Macaca mulatta: one gene and its partner. The protein of the gene in region 1 interacts with the protein of each later gene in a pairwise test. Links are inferred from orthologs where the notes say so. Each region holds a gene or a part of one and is shown on either strand. Other genes may lie near its edges.

Region 1 (10,455 bases):
CTCACCACACACAGAAGCAGCGAGGGCACTCGAAGTGACAGCTTTGACGGGGAGGGGATTCAGCCCAGTCCGGCTCCTCGGGGATGCTAGCCCTTGAGACTAAGGAATGTTCCTTCAGGGAAGATAGGGTGGGGTTTAAATGAGATGAGGGGGGCAGGCCTGGCCCTGAGTCCCTACTCAGCGCCCCCCACCCTCCACCCCTGCCCCTCAGCAGGTCAGGGCAGCCAGAGCCCCTCCATTCTAGAACTGCCAGAGACTGGGACACTGGGGAAGGTAAGGGTGCAGCAGCAGCAGTGGGAGATTGAACTGGGGCCACCTGAGCCCCCGAGGTCCTGTGGGAAGGGCGGCTGGGGAGGAGGCCTTGGCCTGCCTAAAGCTGGAGGCCTCAGCAAAGGAGAGAGGTGGCCAGGCCCATGCTCCACCCTGGTCTGGGCTGCCAAGGTCTGGGCTCGGCACAGTGTCCATTTTCTAACAGTCCGGCGGGAGAGGGGCAGGCAGGAGGCAGGTCCTAAAGAGAGAAGCAGACAGAAAAGGAGTCATTAGCATACCCCAGGCAGACCCGCGGGAGCCCTGACCTGAACGTCTCTCACCCTCACAGCTGGATAGGCTGGGTCTCAGTTTCCTTATCTGTAAATGGAGATAATAATAGTACCTAGCTGGAGGTACTGCTGTAAGATTAAAGGAATTAAGACATGTAAACCTCTTAGAACAATGCTTAGGGTTTTATGCTTTCATTATTAGAACAGTCTCAGCTGGGCACAGTGGCTCATGCCTGTAATCCCAGCACTTTGAGAAGTCGAAGTGGGTGGGTCACTTGAGCCCAGGAGTTGGAGACTGGCCTGGGCAATATAGCAAGACCCCAACTTTAAAAAAAAAAAAAAAATTAGCCAGTTGCAATGGCTCGTCCAGCCAGCTGGGAGGATCCCTTGCGCCCCAGGAATTTGAGGCTGCATTGAGCTATGATTGCACCACTGCACTCCAGCCTGGGCGACAGAGTGAGACACTGTCTTAAAAAAACGAAAACAAAAAAAAGATAAATAGAACTGACTCCAGGAAACTGAGGTGCAGAGAGGTGAGGTGCCTTGCCCAATATCACACAGCACTTACTAAGTGGCACAGCTGGAGTTTGAGCCCAGGTATGCACGCCTTCTTCCTATTAGGCCACACCTGGCTGAAGACAGGAAGAGACCAGAGGAGGCAAGGAGGCAGTGTGGGTGGGGGCAGGCCCAGCAGGGTCCCCACAGCTATGTGAACTGCTGATCTGGCAGCAGGTGTGAGGAGGCCTGGCAATCTGGGTCAGGCTGGGTGCTGCTGGGCCCCTCCCAAAGCAATCATGGCCCCACCTGCTTCTGCCACACCCAGAGCCGAAGCCTGGGTGACAGGGCCCCTCAGTGACCTCTTGCCTCTTTACCAGTTCCGTTCCCAGAAGGAGATTAGAATGGCTGCTGGGGCTGGAGGATGCAGGGTGTTGACAGGTGGAGACATTTGGGGCTGGAGGACTGGGTGGGCCATGAGTCTGGGCAGCACTTGGGCATTTTTTTTTTTTTGAGATGGAGTCTTGCTCTGTAGTCCAGGCTGGAGTGCAGTGGTGTGATCTCAACTCACTGCAACCTCTGCCTCCTGGGTTCAAGCAATTCTCCTGCCTCAGCCTCCCAAGTAGCTGAGATTACAGGCACACGCCACCACACCTGGCTAATTTTTGTATTCTTAGTAGAGACGGGGTTTCACCATGTTGGCCAGGCTGGTCTCGAACTCTTGACCTCGTGATCCATCACCTTGGCCTCCCAAAGTGCTGGGCTTACAGATGTGAGCCACTGTGCCTGGCCCCCCCTTTTTTTTTTTGAAACAGAGTCTCACTGTTGCCCAGGCTGGCGTATAGTGGTGCAACCTCCGCCTCCCGGGTTCAAGCAATCCTCCCACCACAGCCTCCTGAGTAGCTGGGACTAGAAGCGCATGCCTACACACCCGGCTAATTTTAGTATTTTTAGTAGAGACAGGGTTTCACCACATTGGCCAGGCTGGTCTCGAACCCCTGACTTCAGGTGATACACTCGCCTCAGCCTCCCAAAGTGCTGGGATTACCAGAGTGACCCACTGTGCCTGGCTAATTTTTGTATTTTTAGTATAGATGGGATTTCGCCATGCTGGCCAGGCTGGTCTCAAACTCCTGACCCTCAGGTGATCCACTCATCTCAGTCTCAGTCTCCCAAAGTGCTGGGATTCCAGGCATGAGCCACTGCACCCAGCCCCCGGGCACTTCTGTTGTCACCAGACACACCGAGCATGGGTGCAGGGTAAGCTTGCTGCTATATGGAGGCACATACAAATACAGATATAGATATTGATATAGATACAGATACAGATAGAGATATAGATAGATATAGATACAGGTATTTAGTATCAGCGTATCTGTGTGCCGGCCATGGGGACACTCACCAGGCCCCAGGGTGCAGGGATGTCTGTCTGGGTTAGGGGGCCTCTAGCGCCCCAGGCTGGAAGCGTGCTGTCTCCTGGAAGATGAGCTCCTTCAGCCGCTCCTTAGGTAGGTCATCCAGCTCCATGGCGAAGGTGAAGGGCTCCTCGGCCACTGGCTGGGGTGGCAGAGACAGCAAGGCTCAGGCCTGGCATGGGGGATGCCTACTTACCCCCCTGCCCCTGGCCCTACTGCTGCTGGGGACTGGCCCACCTCATCCGTCGGGTCATAGTACTGCTCCAGGTAGGGGTGAGCCAGCGCTTCCTCCACTGTGATCCGTTTATTGGGGTTAAAGGTTAACATCCGGTCCAGCAGGTCAAGGGCTATAGAAGGGCAGGAGTCAGGGGTCACAGGGAAGACTGGAGAAGCTCCCAGAAGCATCACTTTGCCTGTCTCCTCCAGCTGCTGCTGGGCTCCCGTACCCTCCATGGCACCCAGGGTTTATCCCACACCCGTCCTCATGTCTCTCAAACCTTTGGAGTCTGACTTGGGGAAAAGCTTGGCCCAAGCCACCTTGGTCTTGGAGGGCAGAGACTGTAGGTAGTTTCGGGCCTTCATGTTGATGATACAATTCAGGTCCTCCTGGGATGGGGAGCCCAGGATGCCTGTGGATAAGGAGGTGACTTGGTAAATGATCACCTCCTTCTTTCTGGGAACAGAACAGGCAACAAGGCAAGAACAAGACCCCCAGCCCAGCAACCCATGCCAATCCCTCAGTTACCTCCTAGTCATTAGCAAGGTGGTGCAGAGCAAGGGGGCTGGATTCAGGCAGACCGAGGCTCAAATCCTAGGTCTGGTGCCTCCTTAGGTGTGGGACTTAGACTTGCTTTTCCCATCTATCCAATGGGGATAATATCTATACCTCATTGAGATACCATGAGATGCTGGAGGCGCCCCACACGTGGTGGTATCCCTGACTTGGACTCTTGAGAAATCTCACCTTGGAGAAGGTAATCATCCCCCACTCAGCCAGCCGGGCCTCCCTCACCCAGAATGTGGTTGAGCTGATCCAGGTAGTGCTTGCCAGGGAAGATGGGCCGGTTAGAGAGCATCTCAGCCAGAATGCAGCCCACAGACCAGATGTCGATGGACTTGGTATAGCCCTGGGAGAGAGGAGGAAGTGGTGGGCTCCTGGGCCAGCCTCAACAGGGTCCTGTTTCTACACCAAGCCACCATCTCCAAGTTAGATCCAACACCAGGCAGAAGGCAGAGGCCTGGAGGGCTCAATGCTCAGCTTCCTTGCAGAGCCCAAGGCCCAGAGGGTGGAATTCCTGTGTCATGGGGGTCGGTGTCTGGCTCGGAGGTAGCTCCAGGGCTTCCTGGGACCTGGTCCCTTCCCTTCAGGAGTGGGCAGCCCCTCCTACCTTGGAGTTCAGCATGATCTCTGGGGCCCGGTACCAGCGTGTAGCCACATACTCCGTCAGGAAGCCGGTGTGGTCATGCTCAGGATCGGCAATCCGGGCCAGGCCGAAATCGCAAATCTGGAATCAGACCAAGCTGCTAAGCTCAGTGCTCAAGGCCTCTGCAGCTTAAGCAGTCACGCCCCCTTGTCTTTGCCTCCACTGTTCCCCTTGCTTGCAATGTTCTCCTGCCCAAGGCTTCTACTGGTCACCTGGAAGCCCCAGACCCTGGGGGAAGAGGGGACAGGTGCCCAACCCTCTGACCTTAAGGTCGCAGGTGGTGTTGATGAGCAGGTTGGAGGGCTTTAGATCCCGGTGGAGCACATTAGCGGAGTGGATGTACTTGAGGCCCCGCAGGATCTGGTAGAGGAAGTAGCAGATGTGGTCATTGCTCAGTTGCTGGCTTTTCAGCAACTTGTACAGGTCAGTCTCCATCAGGTCCTGCACAATGTAGCTGAGGATGGTTCCGGAGACCCCCGGGGAGGGGGCAGCGGGAGGCACTTGGTTAAGGAAAACAGGCTCTGAAGGCGAGGCTGCACATCTCCTCCAGCCAGGGCCCCTGGGACTCAATAGATCTGCCAACCTGCACCACCAGCTGGGCAAGCTGCTGCCGTTACCCAGCGGCAGGGCTCTGAGCCTCTGTCGCGTCACAGTTGCTGATCCTGAGCAAGGGGCTTCACTTCTGTGGCCTCAGTTTCCCTACCGGGGAAACAGGGATAATAATAAACTGTGGGAGGCCGGAGAACTTCACAGTTAAGAGCAGCAACTTGGGCCAGGAGTGGTGGGTCATGCCTGTAATCCCAGCACTTTGGGAGGCTGAGGCGGGAGGATCGCTTGAGGCCAGGAGTTTGAGACCACCAGCCTGGGCAACATGGCAAAACTCTGTCTCTACTGGTAATACCAAAATTAACTGGGGACAGTGGCATGTGCCTGTAATCCCAGCTACTCGGGAGGCTGCAACACGAGAATCACTTGAACCCGGGAGACAGATGTAGTGAGCCGAGATCATGTCACTGTACTCCAGCCTGGATGATAGAGTGAGACTCTGTTTCAAAAATAAATAAATAAATTAATTAAAAAAAGAAAACTACAAAAAGAGCAGCAACTCTGGACTTAACCCATGGAAGTCTGAAATCTCCTCTCTACTACTTACTGGCTTTAGGAGCTCAACCTGTCTGTGCCTCAACTTTCTCATCTGGTATGTAGGGGAAATAATGTGTTTTTTGTTTGTTTGTTTTCTTTTTATTTTATTTATTTATTTTTTTGAGACGGAGTCTCGCTCTGTCACCCAGGCTGGAGTGCAGTGGCCGGATCTCAGATCACTGCAAGCTCCGCCTCCCGGGTTCACGCCATTCCCCTGCCTCAGCCTCCCGAGTAGCTGGGACTACAGGCGCCCGCCACCTTGCCCGGCTAAGTTTTTTGTATTTTTAGTAGAGACGGGGTTTCACCGTGTTAGCCAGGATGGTCTCGATCTCCTGACCTTGTGATCCGCCCGTCTCGGCCTCCCAAAGTGCTGGGATTACAGGCTTGAGCCACCGCGCCCGGCCTGTTTGTTTTCTTTTTGTGGAGACGGGCTATTGCTATGTTGCCCAGGCAGGTCTTGAACTCATGGGTTCAAGTGTTCCTTCCACCTCGGCCTCCCAAAGTGCTGGAAATTACAGGTGCGAGCCATGAAATAATGGTTCTTTTGAGGGTGGTTGTGAAGACTAGATGAGATGGCGCATGTAAAACTGTCAGCCCAGTGCTAGGCAAGTTGTGAGTGCTAGGCAAACATGAACTATTATTACTAATATCAATGCCTGAGTCACATGGCTGTTGAGGGAGTTAAATGAGATAATGTATGAACACCATCTGGCATGCAATAAATGTTTGCTTAAAAATAAATGCCTGCCTTATGGGAATGGTTTGCGCAAGAAAAATGAGGAGACACTCCCAATAGCACACTCCCACTCAAAGAAGAGTGCTTGGCCATACCTCAGAAGATGGAGGAGTAAAATGTCTTTTTCTATTTGAAGATAAAACAAAGCTTATGCGTAAATAAATAAATAAATCCACAAATGCCGTTTGGCTTGTCTCTGGAAAAATAAGTCAGGGCTGTCTTTTAGAATCTGCCTTGAGGCCAGGTGCAGTGGCTCACACCTGTAATCCCAGCACTTCAGGAGGCCAAGATGGGTTGAAGACCTGAGGTCAGGGGTTCGAGGCCAGCCTGGCCAACAGGGCAAAACCCTGTCTCTACTGAAAATACAAAAATTATCTGGGCGTGGTGGCGGGCGCCTGTAGTCCCAGCTACTTGGAAGGCTGAGGCAGGAGAATAGCTTGAACCTGGGAGGTGGAGGTTGCCGTGAGCTGAGATCCAGCCACTGCACTCCAGCCTGGGTGACAGAGGGAGACTCCATCTCAAAAAGGAAAAAAAAGAAAATAAGAATCTGCCTTGAAAGGGTCTTCAGAGGATATGTGGACCAGCCCTGCTGTTTTAGAGCTGGGGAGGCCCAGTGAGACGCAGTGACTTGCTTCAGACCACACAGCGAGATGGGGGTGAGCACAGAGATTTCCTGTCCACAGTTTGTGGTGGGGGCTGCAGACACCGCAATACAAATCCCCGCTCTTGGGTGGAGGGCTGGGACTGAGAGTGGGTGGGTGGGGTAGGGAAGAGGTGACAGGTGTCACAAGTTGCTAAGGAGAGCCAGACAGGAAGTGGACAGCAAACTAGGAAAGCAGTATCAGGGGAGGACAACAAAGGCTAGGCTGTCCCTCCCTGGGCAAGGTGCAAGTCCACAGGTGATTAGGGTGTGGCTCTGAGTGAGAAGTCCTAAGAAGGACAAGTTTCCATCTGGGGGAGGGGAGGAGGAGACAGCAACAGAAACACTTGATTTTAGGTTTTCTGGGCCTCAGCTTCTTCATTTTTTTTTTTTTTTTTTTGAGACAGGGTCGCGTTCTGTCCCCCAGGCTGGAGTGCAGTAGCACAATCATAGCTCATTGCAGCCTTGAACTCCTGTGCTCAAGCCATCCTCCTGCCTCAGCATCCCAAGTAGCTGGGACTACAGTCATGCACCACCAAAGCTGGATAATTTTTAAATTTTTTGTAGAGATGGGGTCTCACTATGCTGCCCAGGCTGGTCTTGAACTCCCAGCCTCCACTGATCCTCTGGTCTTGGCCTCTAAAGTGTTGGAACTACAGACGTAAGCCATTGCACTCTGCCCTCATCTTTGAAATGAAGCTGCAAAGCCTATCTCATAGGGTAGTTGGGAGGTGTAATAGAAAAAAAAAAAAAAAGCATTGGGCATGTATAGTACCTGACACGCAGTAGGACCTCAAGAAAGGCAGTTTTTTTGTTTTTGTTTTGTTTTGAGACAGAGTCTCACGCTGTTACCCAGGCTGGAGGGCAGTGGCACGATCTTGGCTCACTGCAACCTCCGCCTCCTGGGTTCAAGCGATTCTCTTGCCTCTGCCTCCCAAGTAGCTGGGATTACAGGCATGCGCCACCACGCCCTGCTAATTTTTTTGTACTTTTAGTAGAGATAGGGTTTAACCATGTTGGCCAGGCTGGTCTCCAACTCCTGGCCTCAGGTAATCTGCCCACCTCAGCCTCCCAAAGTGCTGGGATTACAGGCATAAGCCACCATGCCCAGCTGACAGTTTGCTTTCTCCCTGTCTCCCTTCCAGTCTGGGGAAGGAGGAAAGAGAGGAAAGAACCATCCATTTGTTAGCAAGAAGTGACTGTGGGCAGAAGCTGGGTCATGTCTCAGAACTGCCGATGTCAGAAGACAACACTCCCATAGAGACCATCCTGTCTAGCCCTCCCCCTTGGGGCACAGAGCAGAGAACTGACTTGCTCAAGGCCATATTGCCCGGCTGCAGCAGGCCTGGGTTCATCAGAGGCCTCTAAGTCCTGTTACACTGTGGCTTCTCCTCTGCAGGAAAGTTTATTTTACTGGGTTTGTTTTGGAGGGTGGTGGGTAAGATGGAAACAGAAAGCAAGCAACGGGTCCCCAGCCCAGCTCCGAGGCTGTGTATGACCAGCCGACTGGGCAAGGTGAAGGATACACATCCCTCATGGCTTCCAGGGTGGACGCACGCAGAATGTCTCGGATGCCGATGACATTCTCATGGCGGAAGCGCAGCAGGATCTGGATCTCCCGGAGCGTGCGCTGGCAGTAGGTCTGATGCTCGAAGGGGCTGATCTTCTTGATGGCCACGCGAGTCTTGCGCACGTGGTCATAGGCCGAGCTGAGGGGACCGGAGAGAGGCTGCTGCTGTGGCCTTACAAAGGGGGAGTCCGGGCCTGGTGGCCCCACCCAGGCCTTGGCAGGGAGGGGAGAGAGCAGGAGCTGGCTCTGGTCAAATCATAAACAATGCTGGTTCCTTCCTGCTGTGTAGGGCTGGGATCTCCAGAGAGAAAGCTGGGGACCAGCCAGGCGGCCCTTCGGTGACTTTACAAACAGAGGAAGAGACTGACCGCTCACTGACTTCCCCTCTCCTCAATCCCCTTCCATTCTACTGGCCCTGAACCCTTCGCCCCCATTCCCAGGAAAGGTTCCTTAACCCAAGACAGGTCCGGGGGTGCAGATGCTGGGGGCACACCATGGAGCAAATACTGGGAAAACGGCAGCCAGGGGAGGGGCAGGAGAGAATGGACAGGGCAGGGGCGGGTCCTAGGGTGAGGGAAGCGGGCAGCAGGGCTGTCCCAGAGCTCACGGTGGGGCCGGGGGCACTCACAGACCCCTCCCAAAACATGCAAGTGGCACTCCTGGCCCCCTCATCTCTCTTTGGGCACCTGGTGGTGGTGGTGGTGGGGCCAAAGCCCTGCCCCACCCTGATCTCGGCTCGTCTACCCCAGGCTCCCTGGCACTGCCTCACAGGGGGAATCCAAAACACCCTTTCCCCCAAAACGGGCCCTCCACTGCCTCTTCACTAAGGATGTCGCCTCCCCGAGAGTACTCATCCTCTGGGCCTCGCCCCGTGTCACTAGGGTCCCCGCGGGCCCCCACATGCACTCAGATGCCCCTCCCATCATTACAGAAGGGTGGACTCAAAGCCTCCAAGCCCCCTCCCCTGAGGACGCAGGCAGCGCCCTCTCCCCTAGAAAGCACTCAGGGGTCCCCTCCCTGGGACGCTCCCGATCATCCCGAGTCCCCTGCCTCCTCGGGACGCTCCGCGTCTCCACGTCCCGGAAAGCGCTCGGCGCCTCCCCCTCCTCTCCTGTGAAGCCCCCTCCCCTGAGGGCGCCCCCTCCCCCGGAACGCCCCCTCACCTGACCATGCCGTACGCGCCCTCGCCGATGTACTGCAGCTGCGTGTAGCGCGGGCCCACGTCGAACGGCTGCCCCTTCACCATCTCCACCTCCCCCGGGACCCCCGGGCCGACCCCCTCGGCTCTCCGGGGCTCCCCACCCCCGCCCCCCTGAGCCGCCGCCGCCGCCATCTCCACTCCTCCCCTCCCGCCGCCCTCCTCCCCCCGGCGGCCCCGCCCGAGGCCCCGCCCCTTCCCGCCCGCCTGTCACCCGCAGGGCCGCGCGCTCCAGGCCCCGCCCCTGCCCCGGCCCCGCGCGCCCCCGGCCCCGCGCGGGCCTGGAGCCGTCACGTGACCCACCCCGGGCGCGCGCCCGCCCTTCTCGCCCTAGGTGCGGGAGCCCGGGGGTCTCTGCTGGCTCCGCGGTCACCAAGTCACGGGGAGGCTCGGCAGCGCCGCCTCGGAGACTGTCCTCACCCTCCTCTCGAAGGCGAAGCGGCCAGGGCGTGACCTACCAGAGCCACCCAGCCAATGTGTGCGGCAGCCCACCAGAACCTGGGCCCGAGATCACCCTAGGTTAAAAAAACTGTTCTAATAAATGAATCAAATTTTACAGATGGGGAATCTGAGAGTTGGGCTAACTAACTTGAGTAAGGTCACTAGTAATGACAGAGCTGAGACTCAAAATGATGTCTTCTGACAGAGGCTCTTTTTAATTCCATGCCTCTCAGAATCCTAGACTGTTTTTATTTTATTTTAGAGACAGGGTCTCACTCTGTCGTCCAGGCTGCAGTGCAGTGGTGCAATATTTACTGACTGCATTCTCAACCTCCTTGGGGTCAAGTGATCCTCCTACCTCAGCCTCCCAAAGAGCTGGGACTATGCGTGCGCTCCACCACGCCCTGCTAATTAAAAAAAAAAATTGGGGGACTGGGCACTATGGCTCACGCCTGTAATCTCAGCACTTCTGGAGGCTGAGGAGGGCGGATCACTTGAGGACAGAGTTGGAGACCAGCCTGACCAACATGGTGAAGCCCTGTCACTACTAAAAATACAAAACTTAGCTGGGCATGGTGGTGGGCGCCTGTAATCCCAGCTCTTCAGGAGGCTGAGGCAGGAGAATTGCTTGGTACCCAGGAGGTGGAGGTTGCAGTGAGCCAAGATTGCACCACTGCACTCCGCCTGGGTGACAGAGCGAGACTCCATCTCAAAAAAAGAAAATATAATTTTTTTTTGGTAGATACTGGGTCTTGCGATGTTGTCCAGGCTGGTCTGAAACTACCGACTTCACAGGATCCTCCCACCTCGGCCTCCCAAAGCTCTGGGATCACACCTGTCCATCTCAGACTGTT
Region 2 (10,477 bases), on another chromosome or scaffold:
TTTAGACTAAGTCCCAGTCTCTGGCCATAGAGCTCTTAGCTTTTTCCAGTAAGTTCTTAACCTGTCAATTTGGGTATTTATCTCACAGACTGTTTCCGAGCATTACCAGGTACTGTATACAGATTCACTTTCTGAAGCAGAAACTGCTATAAAAAGCAAGTCAGTGGTTTTAATACTAAGATATAAATGTTCAAAAATTAACAAAGACAAATCTACCTGGACACAAATACACTAATACACTATAATGTATCCAGCAGTCAGCATTGCTTTACCCTTGGAGGAGCCTGTCCTACGCCATCCCCAGAAGTATAAATGCAAACAGAAGTACCAGTTAGGCTCCAACTGTGCTCCTCAGAGCGTGCAGGGCAAGTCAGTGGACAAGGAGCTGTGTGGGCGGGTAGGTGTGGGGATGGGTGGACAGGTGGTCATGGTTGTATTAAAAAACAAAATAAAATGGGATGTTTATGCTTATTCATAGGAAATCTGTTGTTATCTAGTCTTCTTACATATTGGAGTTAATCCCTCATCCCCAGGAGGGTACCAGTTGTGTTAAACTCCAAGTTGAGACCAAGTGAACTCCCATGAACCAGCTTCAGTGAATCTTTTTCAGTTGGAAAGTCATTAAAAAAGGTAGAGGGGAGTGCCCTGCACCTGTTTCTGAAATGATTGCAAGGTTGCTCAATCTCAAACGCCTGCTCTGGTCAGTACAAACTGTATTGATTACATTAACATAATAGTAGATCCACTGGTCAAAAATGAATCCTTTATTCCAAGGGATTTGGTCACTGCTTGCCAAAAAATCTCCATAGATTTAACTTTTTGAAAACTCAATTCAGGCTTGCCAGTTTGTATTCACAGATTGCAAAGGCAGATATCTGATCCAAGATTACAATATGTATGTCTTAGGATTTGTTGCCTATTTTTCATCACCCTGAAAAAACATATTTTGCATCATTACATGGGAATATTGAAAGTTGTTCATTCCTAATAATACTTATTAAAATAACGCAATAATAATCATTGTTAGGTCTCTTTATACTACGGCTGTCATTGAATAAGAATCTACTCTGCACTAGAGCTTTACATCCTACATGTTGTTTGAAAATTACCACAGTCTTGGGAGGTAGGTTATTATTATGTCTGCTGAACAGAAGAAAATCCAGAGGCTCAGATATCTGGGAACATCTAGAGTAGGGAGGATGTGCTTGGCCAGATGCAAGTTCATTTTCACGGTAAAGGTTAGGGAAGGAATGAAGAAATGCTCATGCTTTTTCCTTTTTAAGTGGCACTTGAATATTCCCAAACAGTCAATTTTCTAATCACAAAGTTTTCAATAGTTAATTAATTTGTATACTATTGATACATAAAGCAAATTATTCCAACTCAGTTTATCAAGAGTATGTTTATGTATGCACATATATGGGTGAGTTTAATCTGCAGAAATCCAGTGAAGCAGGAGGAGAAATAGAAGGGAGACAAGAGAAGGAGAGGTAGACAGGAGGATGGCAACAGCGGAAAGTTCTCTTTATATGGCATAAAGCCCCGTGACTTCATTGGTAAGGCAAATGTCTACTATTAACATGACATACTTTGCTAGACACATAGCAGAGAGGATGGTAGGAAAGCATCATAGATAAGTTCAGTGCTGCTTCCCTTCTTCAGCTGTTCTCAATCTAAAGGACTAAATAGAAGTATACATGGCACAGAAACACTGCAGCATTTTAGATTAGAGCTAATTGGATAAAAATAAAATTCCCAAATTTCAGTCAGTGTGATGAAGTTGCTTTCAAATGAAGATTTAATAGCCCAGGCATTCTTTACTGATAGAACTCAAAATGAGTAGAAATACTGATAGTCAGTAGCCTGTTACATTGCAATTTTTAACAAAATGCTGGATGGAATGATACTTCTTCGTTTATCTTTCCTACTCTCCTTCCCTCTCCAGCCAAGTGTGCACTCAAGTCTTAAAGAGCACTTGAGAAGCTCCTAGAAAATAGGATGAATGGTGCATGGCAAGATCATTGTGTAAAATATGCTGACTGATTAAAGACAGATTTAATTTGCTATACTTCTTTTTATCAAAAGACACTTTGAGAAAGCAAAAATGGAAGAGGGACATTATTTAATATGGGCTCTATACAGCACCTGAGAGTACAAAACATTTTTTTTGTTTTGTTTTACCCAAGCAAAGCCTACTGTTACCATTTAGTGGTGACTGGTTTTTTGACTGCTAATGCTTTAAAAATGAGATTAAATCAGGTCCATGGTCTTTATTACTAGGAAGATATATGCCCCTTGTGAATTCTAGTGGTTTGGCAATCTTAACCTCAGCAGACATAACATTAATGTATTCTGTGTTGCCAAACAGCATGGTTTAAAATGCTGTGAACAGCCTTATTGCTTTGAAATGATACAATCTAATATGAGATTGTAACTCAGTGACTGAATCCATGCACCTATCCTTGTACAGAATACTAAAGACCAAGCCACTGTATATTAATATCTCACAGAGAAGGAATTGTTCTTCAGTTCACTACTGAAAGACAGAACATGTGAACGTGAATGTAGATTGCACGAAGACTGAAACTGCAACGTAACATGAATGCAGTTAATGAAAGGCCATTTTCATTAACAGTGCATAGGCAACTGCCTTTTGTAATAAGGCATCAAATACTAGCCTGCTTCATTCAAATCAGTAGACCTTCTTTCGCCTTGTGGACAACTGATGGGTGGGATTTATGAGGGCAGAAATTCTCTAGTGACTGAAAGTCAAATTGTCCCCTTTCCACTTTATTTGGAGCATTCTGAGAAAGCTGCTTTTGCCAAATCTGCAGCATTTATTCCACTTGTTTCTCCTAATCAATCATAATTAACATTAACATTCAGTTCTCTCTACACTTTATGCTCATCAATCAAATTTCAGACACCCATCACTCCAAGGTTCCAGTTACTTTATAGCCTTGATTTTCATGATCAGGATGTCACCTGGCCTGTCTCCTGAGTAGAGGGGGTGTTCTGCATCTGCACCTCAGTCTATCATTGCTAAAGCAGACCAGGGACACCTCGAGGTAGAGTGACCCACTGTCCTGGTTTTACCTGGCACTCAAGTGGCTTCCCAGGATACAGGACTTTCAAGTGCAAAAATCAGGTCAGTCCAAAGAAAAGCAGAATGGCTAGCCAGTCTACCTTTAGGTAAAATCTGGCTTAACTGACTATGGAAAACTTTGCCTTCATCAGTTTGGGTGGCTTTCACAAAGTATCATGTACTGGGTAGCCTGTAAACAACAGACATTGATTTTTCAAAGTTCTGGAGGCTGGAAACCTAAGATTAGGGTGCCAGCATGACTGGTTTCTGATGAGGGTCCTCTTCTGGGTTGCAGATTACAGATGTCTCATTGCATCCTTACATGGTGAAAGGAGCAGGGGTATTCTGTGGTTCCTTTTATAAGGGCACTAATCACATTCATGAGGACTCCACCCTCATGATCTAATTATCTCTCAAAGTCTCCACCTCCCAATACGATCACATTGGGGGTTAGAATTTCAATATACACATTTTAGGGAGACAAAACATTCAGTCTGCAGAGTTCTTAGTAGAGAAAAGAAGCTACAGAAGAGTAATTTGAAGCTAGATATGGGGATTAACCACATTTCTATGAGATGTAATTCTTCACAGCACCGCCTGACAAAATCACCTCTTTCAGATTGAACTTTCTCAAACCCTCACTAGGAGAGTGCATGAGGGAGTGGTGGTTCTGCCCAATTGTCCTGTTATTGATGAAAATGAGTTATCATTCTGATCTGTCTTCCAAGATGAGACTAGACTAAGTAGGGCCTGGGAAAGAAAGCCTACCACAAATGACTAAACAGCCTATGATTCAATTTTGTTTTTACTGAGAACTAAAGATTACGTTGAAAGCAGCCCTTCAAATCTGCTTACCCATTCATAACTTAAATTTATTTCAAGTTGGATCTGCTTACCTTGCTTTATGGTCAATACAAAAGTTAAAAAAAAAAAAAAAAACACCAGGTTTTGGTGAAATCATTATAGTAACAAGTGAAAAAACTGATTCTTCTCTTTGCAGGTCTAACATTTCAGGGGCCAACAGAAATAATTATGAGCTGCCTTCTAACCAGAAGAGTGGGGCAGAAATAGCAATATCATGGATTCCAGAATGGTCAGTACCATTTTTTCAGGGTCTACATGACTTCAGTGTATCCAGGTGAAAACAAAAACTGTTCATATTATTACTCAGCTATTGAGCCAACATGTTACCAAGTATTAAGAAATTTGGAAGCACTGGAAGCAATTTTTATTTCTCACTTGAGATGTATATGTTGTAGGCCATGCCACTATAATTAAAATAAAATTTACTCTTCTTAAGGCACAACAACGAAAAAATTGACTCTGCAAAAGTTTCGCATTTAATGAAGCTGTAAAGTAGAATTAGAAAATTATTTTTTTCTAATATTTTTCTATTAAGAAGTCCTCCCTTAGATATAAGTAGTAAGTCAACTTGAAAGTTTTGTTTAAAAAAAATCTCATAACATTATGCAGCCAGTTCAGGTCCTATGACTGTTTTCTAAGCTAATTTAAGGAGAAAGGTTCGTCAAAACCATGAGAGAATAAACATGAATCTTTTTTCATCTTTCCTTTTTCTTAAAAGTGTGCATTGTTGGTGAAAATGTAAATTAGACAGCCATTATGAAAAATGGTTATGTAGCTTTCTCAAAAAACTAGAATTAGAATTACCATATGATACACCAATCCCACTTATGGGTATATATCCAAAGGAATTGAAATGAGGGTGTATAAGAGATATCTATACTTCGTGTTAATTGCAGCATTATTCACAAGAGCCAAGATGTGGAATCAATCATGAATGGGTGAATGGGTAAAGAAAATATTTTATATATATATGTGTGTGTGTGTGTGTATGATAATATATATACATACATACAATGGAATACTATTCAGCCTTAAAAAAGAGTAAATCCTGTTATTTGTGATAACATAGATGAACCGACAGGATATTATGCTAAGGGAAACGGGATGCCAGGCACTGAAAGAAAAATACTGCATGATCTCACTTACAGGTAGAATCTATTATAAAAAAGATAGACTCATAGAACTAGAGAGCAGAATGGTTACCAAAGGCTTGGGAAGATGGGGCGTGGTAAGGAATGGAAATATGTTTGTCAAAGGGCACAAGGTTTCAGTTAGAGAGAAGAAATAAGCTTTTAATATCTATTGCACAACGTAGTATACATCAAAATTGCTAAAAGAGTAGACTTAAAATGCTCTCACCACAGAAAAGAGGTAAGTATGTGGTGACAGATATGTTAATTTGCTTGATATAATCACTCCACGATGGATACATACATCAAAACATGACATTGTACTTCATAAAAATATATAATTATTTGTCAATTTAAAATTTAAAACATTTAAAAAATGTACATTATTTCTACAAAAATTATTTTCTTATCCCCAAAAAAGAATAAGAAGAAGAGAGGAAGGAGGAGGAGGAAGAGAAGGAAGAATCCACTTACCTGCTACTGCAACTTTTGCTGTCCGACTGATAATTGAGCCAGAATCTCCTAAAGATGCCTCACATTGGTAAAGTCCCTCATCTGGCTTGTGGTGTCTGGAATGAAGTATGTTTTGTATCAACAGAGACCCATTTGAAAGTTGCTGCTTCCTTTCGTCCATTCCCAAGGCTAGATGGATGCCATCTTTCTTCCACTTGATCACTGGAACTCCTCGGTCAGACTCTGCAGAGCAGTCGAGGAGGACATTTCCTCCCCGCATTGTGACGGCATCAGAAGGTTCTGAGAGGAAGCGCAGTGCTGTGAAAGCTTTAATTTGAAAACCTGGAACAAGAGAGCAAAGGGAAATATGTTCATGTATTCAAATAAATCTCAGGCTTAGATTCCCTTTCTTTTCTTTACAAAGCTTTTCACAAAAGCTGAGGGCTTTGAAAAATGTCCAAAAATAAATAAAAACTAAAATCAAGGATATTATGTTAAATAAGTAAAAAAGTACCCAGTCGAGGTAATGGCAATTAAGAAAACAATTGGTTCCAAAATTTAATACTATGAGAAATTGCAAATTCATATAAATTCTGGCATGCTTATTACCACCTATCAGTCAGTACATGAAAATTTAAGCAGAAAAAAACTAATATTTTCCAAATAAAACTAGATATTTTAAAGTAGCAATAGTTATTAGTGTGGTAGCTAAGATTTGGGGGGAGACTATTTCTATCTCTGCATTCTGATTATGGCATCCATTGAAACTTTTAAAATATCCAATCAGATACAGTGTTCTGTAAGAATAAAAGTCAACTCTGAACAGCATGGGTAAAGTTCTTTAGGACAAAGCTCAGCTGGGTTTTAAAATAGGTAAATCCCACTGGCAGAAGCAAGTCAATAAAGTCACTACCTAAAATCACAAATCCCTGAAGGGTCTTAATTTTCATCCAAATGTTTCTCATGGACTTGGAAATCTAAATAAATATAACAGTTGAAATTTTTTCATAAACATAAATGAACATAAATAATCAACGAGGTAAGAGAAAGTCATTTAAGAATCTTGAGGGGAGGGAGCAAGTATAATTAGTTAAAGTATATTGTTATCGAAGCTGGCAGCATAGCATTTGACAGAATACTCACATGATGAGTCAAAGACCTTGACAAGGTTTCAGGAGGTCATTGGCTCCACCATTTGCTCAGACAGGTGTATGCTTAAATCATTCAAGTCAAATTACTTTCAATTTCATTTTGCACAATCTTAGAGGCTAGAGATTCTACAATGTCCCTTGGTATCTTGTTTTCAATATTTAATCATTTAAAGAGTCTAACTGAATTTTCTTGCTGATGTTTAATCCCATTTTCTTCTGAAACACCTTGTGTGAAAATGCATAAGAGATGGCCATTTTCTTTAAGATCCCTTTATTTGTTTGAAACAGCATTTCATTTCTTAAAAAATACCACCTAAATTATGTTTTAGTCTTCTTTTTTTTTTTTTTTTTTTTTTTTCAGCATAGCAACCTCGACTTCATTAGCTTCCTTAATTTTTCTGTAATGGGAACACTTTTAGTTGTACTTCGTAAAATCATTCCATTCTTCTGTCATTTAAAAGGCAAGCATCTAAATTGCAGGTAATCCATATTCTCATAAGGGATTAGCTCATACTCTTCTGATGGACAGAAACTATTTCTATCTTTGTACACCCTATTTTCCAGTGAAGAGAAGGCAGAACAGCTTCTCACAGTTTCTCCCTGGTTTTATTTGCTTCATTCCTGCATACTCATTTTTTCTAAAACTTATGTTTGAAGTCTGTTATTTTGCCAAATGATGTCTTGTGTCATTCACTGTCATATACTCATTCCTTTCACCTTGGCCACTAACTCAGAAAGCATCTGGAACTTAGTTTGAATTAATATAAATTGTAAAATAATGGTGAGCACATAACTCTACTGTAGATATTGATGAACATCCCAGATGACAGCAGGCTGGTGTCTTTATTTTCAAATAAGCTCCTTCTCCCCACAGATCCTTTTGGCATAGCCAACCCAATTATAGTACATCCTGTTCTTCTAGTGGGAAGTATGTTGAATGGGGTGTCCGGATATCTAGCCTTAGGTCTTGGCTTTGTCACTTCAAAATTCATGACTCAGAAAGGTCTTTTAAGTCCTCAGAAACTCAGTTCCCTCATCTGCAAAAATTAAGAAGTTGAACTAGATGATCTCTAAGTTCAATATCTAGTGTGGAGGCTTTCAAAACAAGATTGGGTGAGAGCATCTGTCAAATGAGCCTTGCTCTAAGCTTGCTGAATCAATGCAGACTGATTTTGCTGAAAATACCTTTCCCATGTCTACATGATCTCTTCCTCTACCAGAAAAGAATCACAAGCTAGCAAACCTGGCCTGAGAAACACTAAAGATGAGACAGCAGAAAGAAGTTCTAATGTCCTTGAATGCCAAGATATTTCACTAGAGTAATACCCACAATTTCCATACAAGTAGCATTAATAAAGAAGAAATAAATTTGAAATTCAAGACCAGGCAACTATATTAGAAAGCATTTATTGCTTTTTTGTTCTTCCTGGGGCCTATATTTTAAACACAACCTCACGTTGAGCACCTTATTTATGTCACAGAACACATAATACATTTAACACAGCTGTTTATGACAGCATGTTAATGAGCATATGTGCCCATTATCACACATAAACAATCCACTTAGTCTGAAACAAGGAGGTTATGACAGTTTTCAGTGCTGTGAGTACATAGATCAACTTTTCTTTAACACAATTACCCTTGCAGTTCACTGGCAATTTGAGCTTTTTGTACTCTTTATAACAATTATATTTTGAATGTATGGCTTTGGGATATAGGCACCTCACTGCTTTAAGTAGCTTGCATTAGTGATTAGTTTTATAGAAGAGATGGATCCCGGTGAATCAAGTTTAATAGAGAAATAGTAGATGTGATTCTATTGGTCTCCTTTTCTAAGTTTCAGTTCATGATAGTGACAGTGGCAGGAGGCAGACAAATTCACAGGCAGACAGGGGTAGGTCGCCAGTGAAACCCAACCTTCAAGCTGAAAACAGCCTAAAGCCTGAAAACTGGGCTGCTGGTTCTGAATGGAGTCTGGGACCAGAGTGAGAACTTCTGTTCCTGTTTGCCTGTTCTTTCCTGATTGGTTCTTTCTGAATAATTCTTTTTTTTTTTTTTTCTTTTTTTGGGGCGTTGGAGTCTGGCTGTCTCCCAGGCTGGAGTGTAGTGATGCAATCTTGGATCACTGCAACCTCTGCCTCAGGTGACTCTCCCGCCTCAGCATCCTGAGTAACTGGGATTACCGGCACATGCCACCAAACCTGGCTAATTTTTGTATTTTTAGTAGAGACGGCCATGTTGGCCATAGTTGGCCAGGCTGGTCTCGGACTCCTGACCTCAGTTATTCTGCCTGCCTCAGCCTCCCGAAGTGCTTGGATTACAGGCATGAGCCAATGGGCCCAGCCTGAATAATGCTTTTTAATCAATCAAATGTTGCCTTTTCCAAGGCTACCTACAGCCTGCACCTCCCCCATTCTGAGCCTATAAAAACTCCAGACTCAGCCACACCTGGGATCGACCCACTGCAGATCACCTCTCTGCTGAGAGATATTCTGTCACTCAATGAAACTTTTCTCCGCCTTGCTCACTCTCCAGTTGTCCACATAAACTCATTCTTCTGGGATGCAGGACAAGAACCTGGGACCCACTGAACAGCAGGTGCAAAAGGAGCTGTAACACTGTAGCCCTCCAGGCCTCCACTGCTGCCTGGAGGGCCATCCAAGACGACAAGAAGCAGCAGTGGGGCCGGGCCAGCCCAAGAGCCGTGGGCCAGAGTGGGGCAGCAGGACTGAATGAGCTGTAACACTAAGGAGCCGAAACACACTCCTGCCCAACCCCTGCCCCGTTCCCTGTGCTGCATATGGCAGGAAGGAGAGAAGAGCTGCAACCCTTCTGGAGGCGAAGACCTTGGGACTTCCTGAGTCAGAGCTCTGACACACCCTTGTTTGCTGGGTTGCGGGAACAAACAAACGGTGACGTGCTGTAACACCCTTTTGGGGCTCTGCGGTTGCTGGCGTCTCTAAGTTTTGTGGGTGTCACCGTGTTCCCCCGGTCCAGACACAAGCATCCTAGGCAGAATTTGCTTGCAGTATGCCTGGTCCAGCTGCCGGCAACTAAAGCTGCCTGCCCCACCGCAGCCGCTGGCGCACCTGACCCTGTGCGGTGGCTGGACTCTGCACTTACTCACTCAGACACCCCTCACCGCTCCATGCCTGGCAAGCCTATAGTGGGAGTGGGATCAGGGGTGGTAGCACCAGCCGAGCACAGCCTGTCAGGCTGAGTGGGCGGAACCAGCTCAGCGGCCAGCTCAGAGCCCAGTGAGGCCCAGGCAGGAGTGCCGCGTGTTGCGGAAGATTTCCTACAGGGGAAGGGGCACGGAAAACTACCCTGTGTCATTAGGCAAGGCTACCTTCAACTTCCTTGTATTTCGCACAGGCCTAAGAAATGTCCCACGAATACATTACATTGACATCAATTTAGGTCCCCCTGAACCCTTTCTCTTAGTGTACTGGTTCCATTTGGAAAGATTTTGCCCAACAGTATATAATTTCTTAATATAAAACAATTTTATAAAATGACTTCATCCAGTAATTAATCTTAAATCAACTACGCTGATTTAATGTATGAAGAGAGGAAGACAGAGATGATAAAACTGAAGAAGACAACAAGTAGAAGTAACTTTGGAGCCTGTGGCTCAAAAAGTTGCAGTCTGGAATTAGGCACTCAGAGTTCAATGAAAGTGTAGACCTCTTGGAAAATACATGAAAGGAGATCATGGGAAGATAACAGAAGAACTCATTTTGAGAATCAAAACTAAACTTCCTATTTACAATGCTGCAGAGAATTTTACATTA

Evidence for each region. The genes of interacting proteins can lie anywhere in the genome.
Region 2: the proteins of MAPK3 (region 1) and DCC interact in a two-hybrid assay, tested with the Homo sapiens proteins (2 studies listed by BioGRID). The link is inferred for Macaca mulatta from reciprocal best matches to the Homo sapiens genes MAPK3 and DCC.

The regions. Positions count from the first base shown.
Region 1 is NC_133425.1:28,437,215-28,447,669, reverse strand, and holds the start of MAPK3 (mitogen-activated protein kinase 3), read right to left. Parts: upstream 9,365-10,455; 5' UTR 9,296-9,364; coding exon 9,126-9,295; intron 8,102-9,125; coding exon 7,919-8,101; intron 4,328-7,918; coding exon 4,138-4,327; intron 3,955-4,137; coding exon 3,838-3,954; intron 3,577-3,837; coding exon 3,462-3,576; intron 3,079-3,461; coding exon 2,947-3,078; intron 2,797-2,946; coding exon 2,687-2,796; intron 2,592-2,686; coding exon 2,469-2,591; 3' UTR 2,437-2,468; intron 509-2,436; 3' UTR 1-508.
Region 2 is NC_133423.1:39,506,334-39,516,810, forward strand, and holds part of DCC (netrin receptor DCC), read right to left. Parts: intron 5,875-10,477; coding exon 5,554-5,874; intron 1-5,553. UniProt on the Homo sapiens protein: Receptor for netrin required for axon guidance. Mediates axon attraction of neuronal growth cones in the developing nervous system upon ligand binding. Its association with UNC5 proteins may trigger signaling for axon repulsion.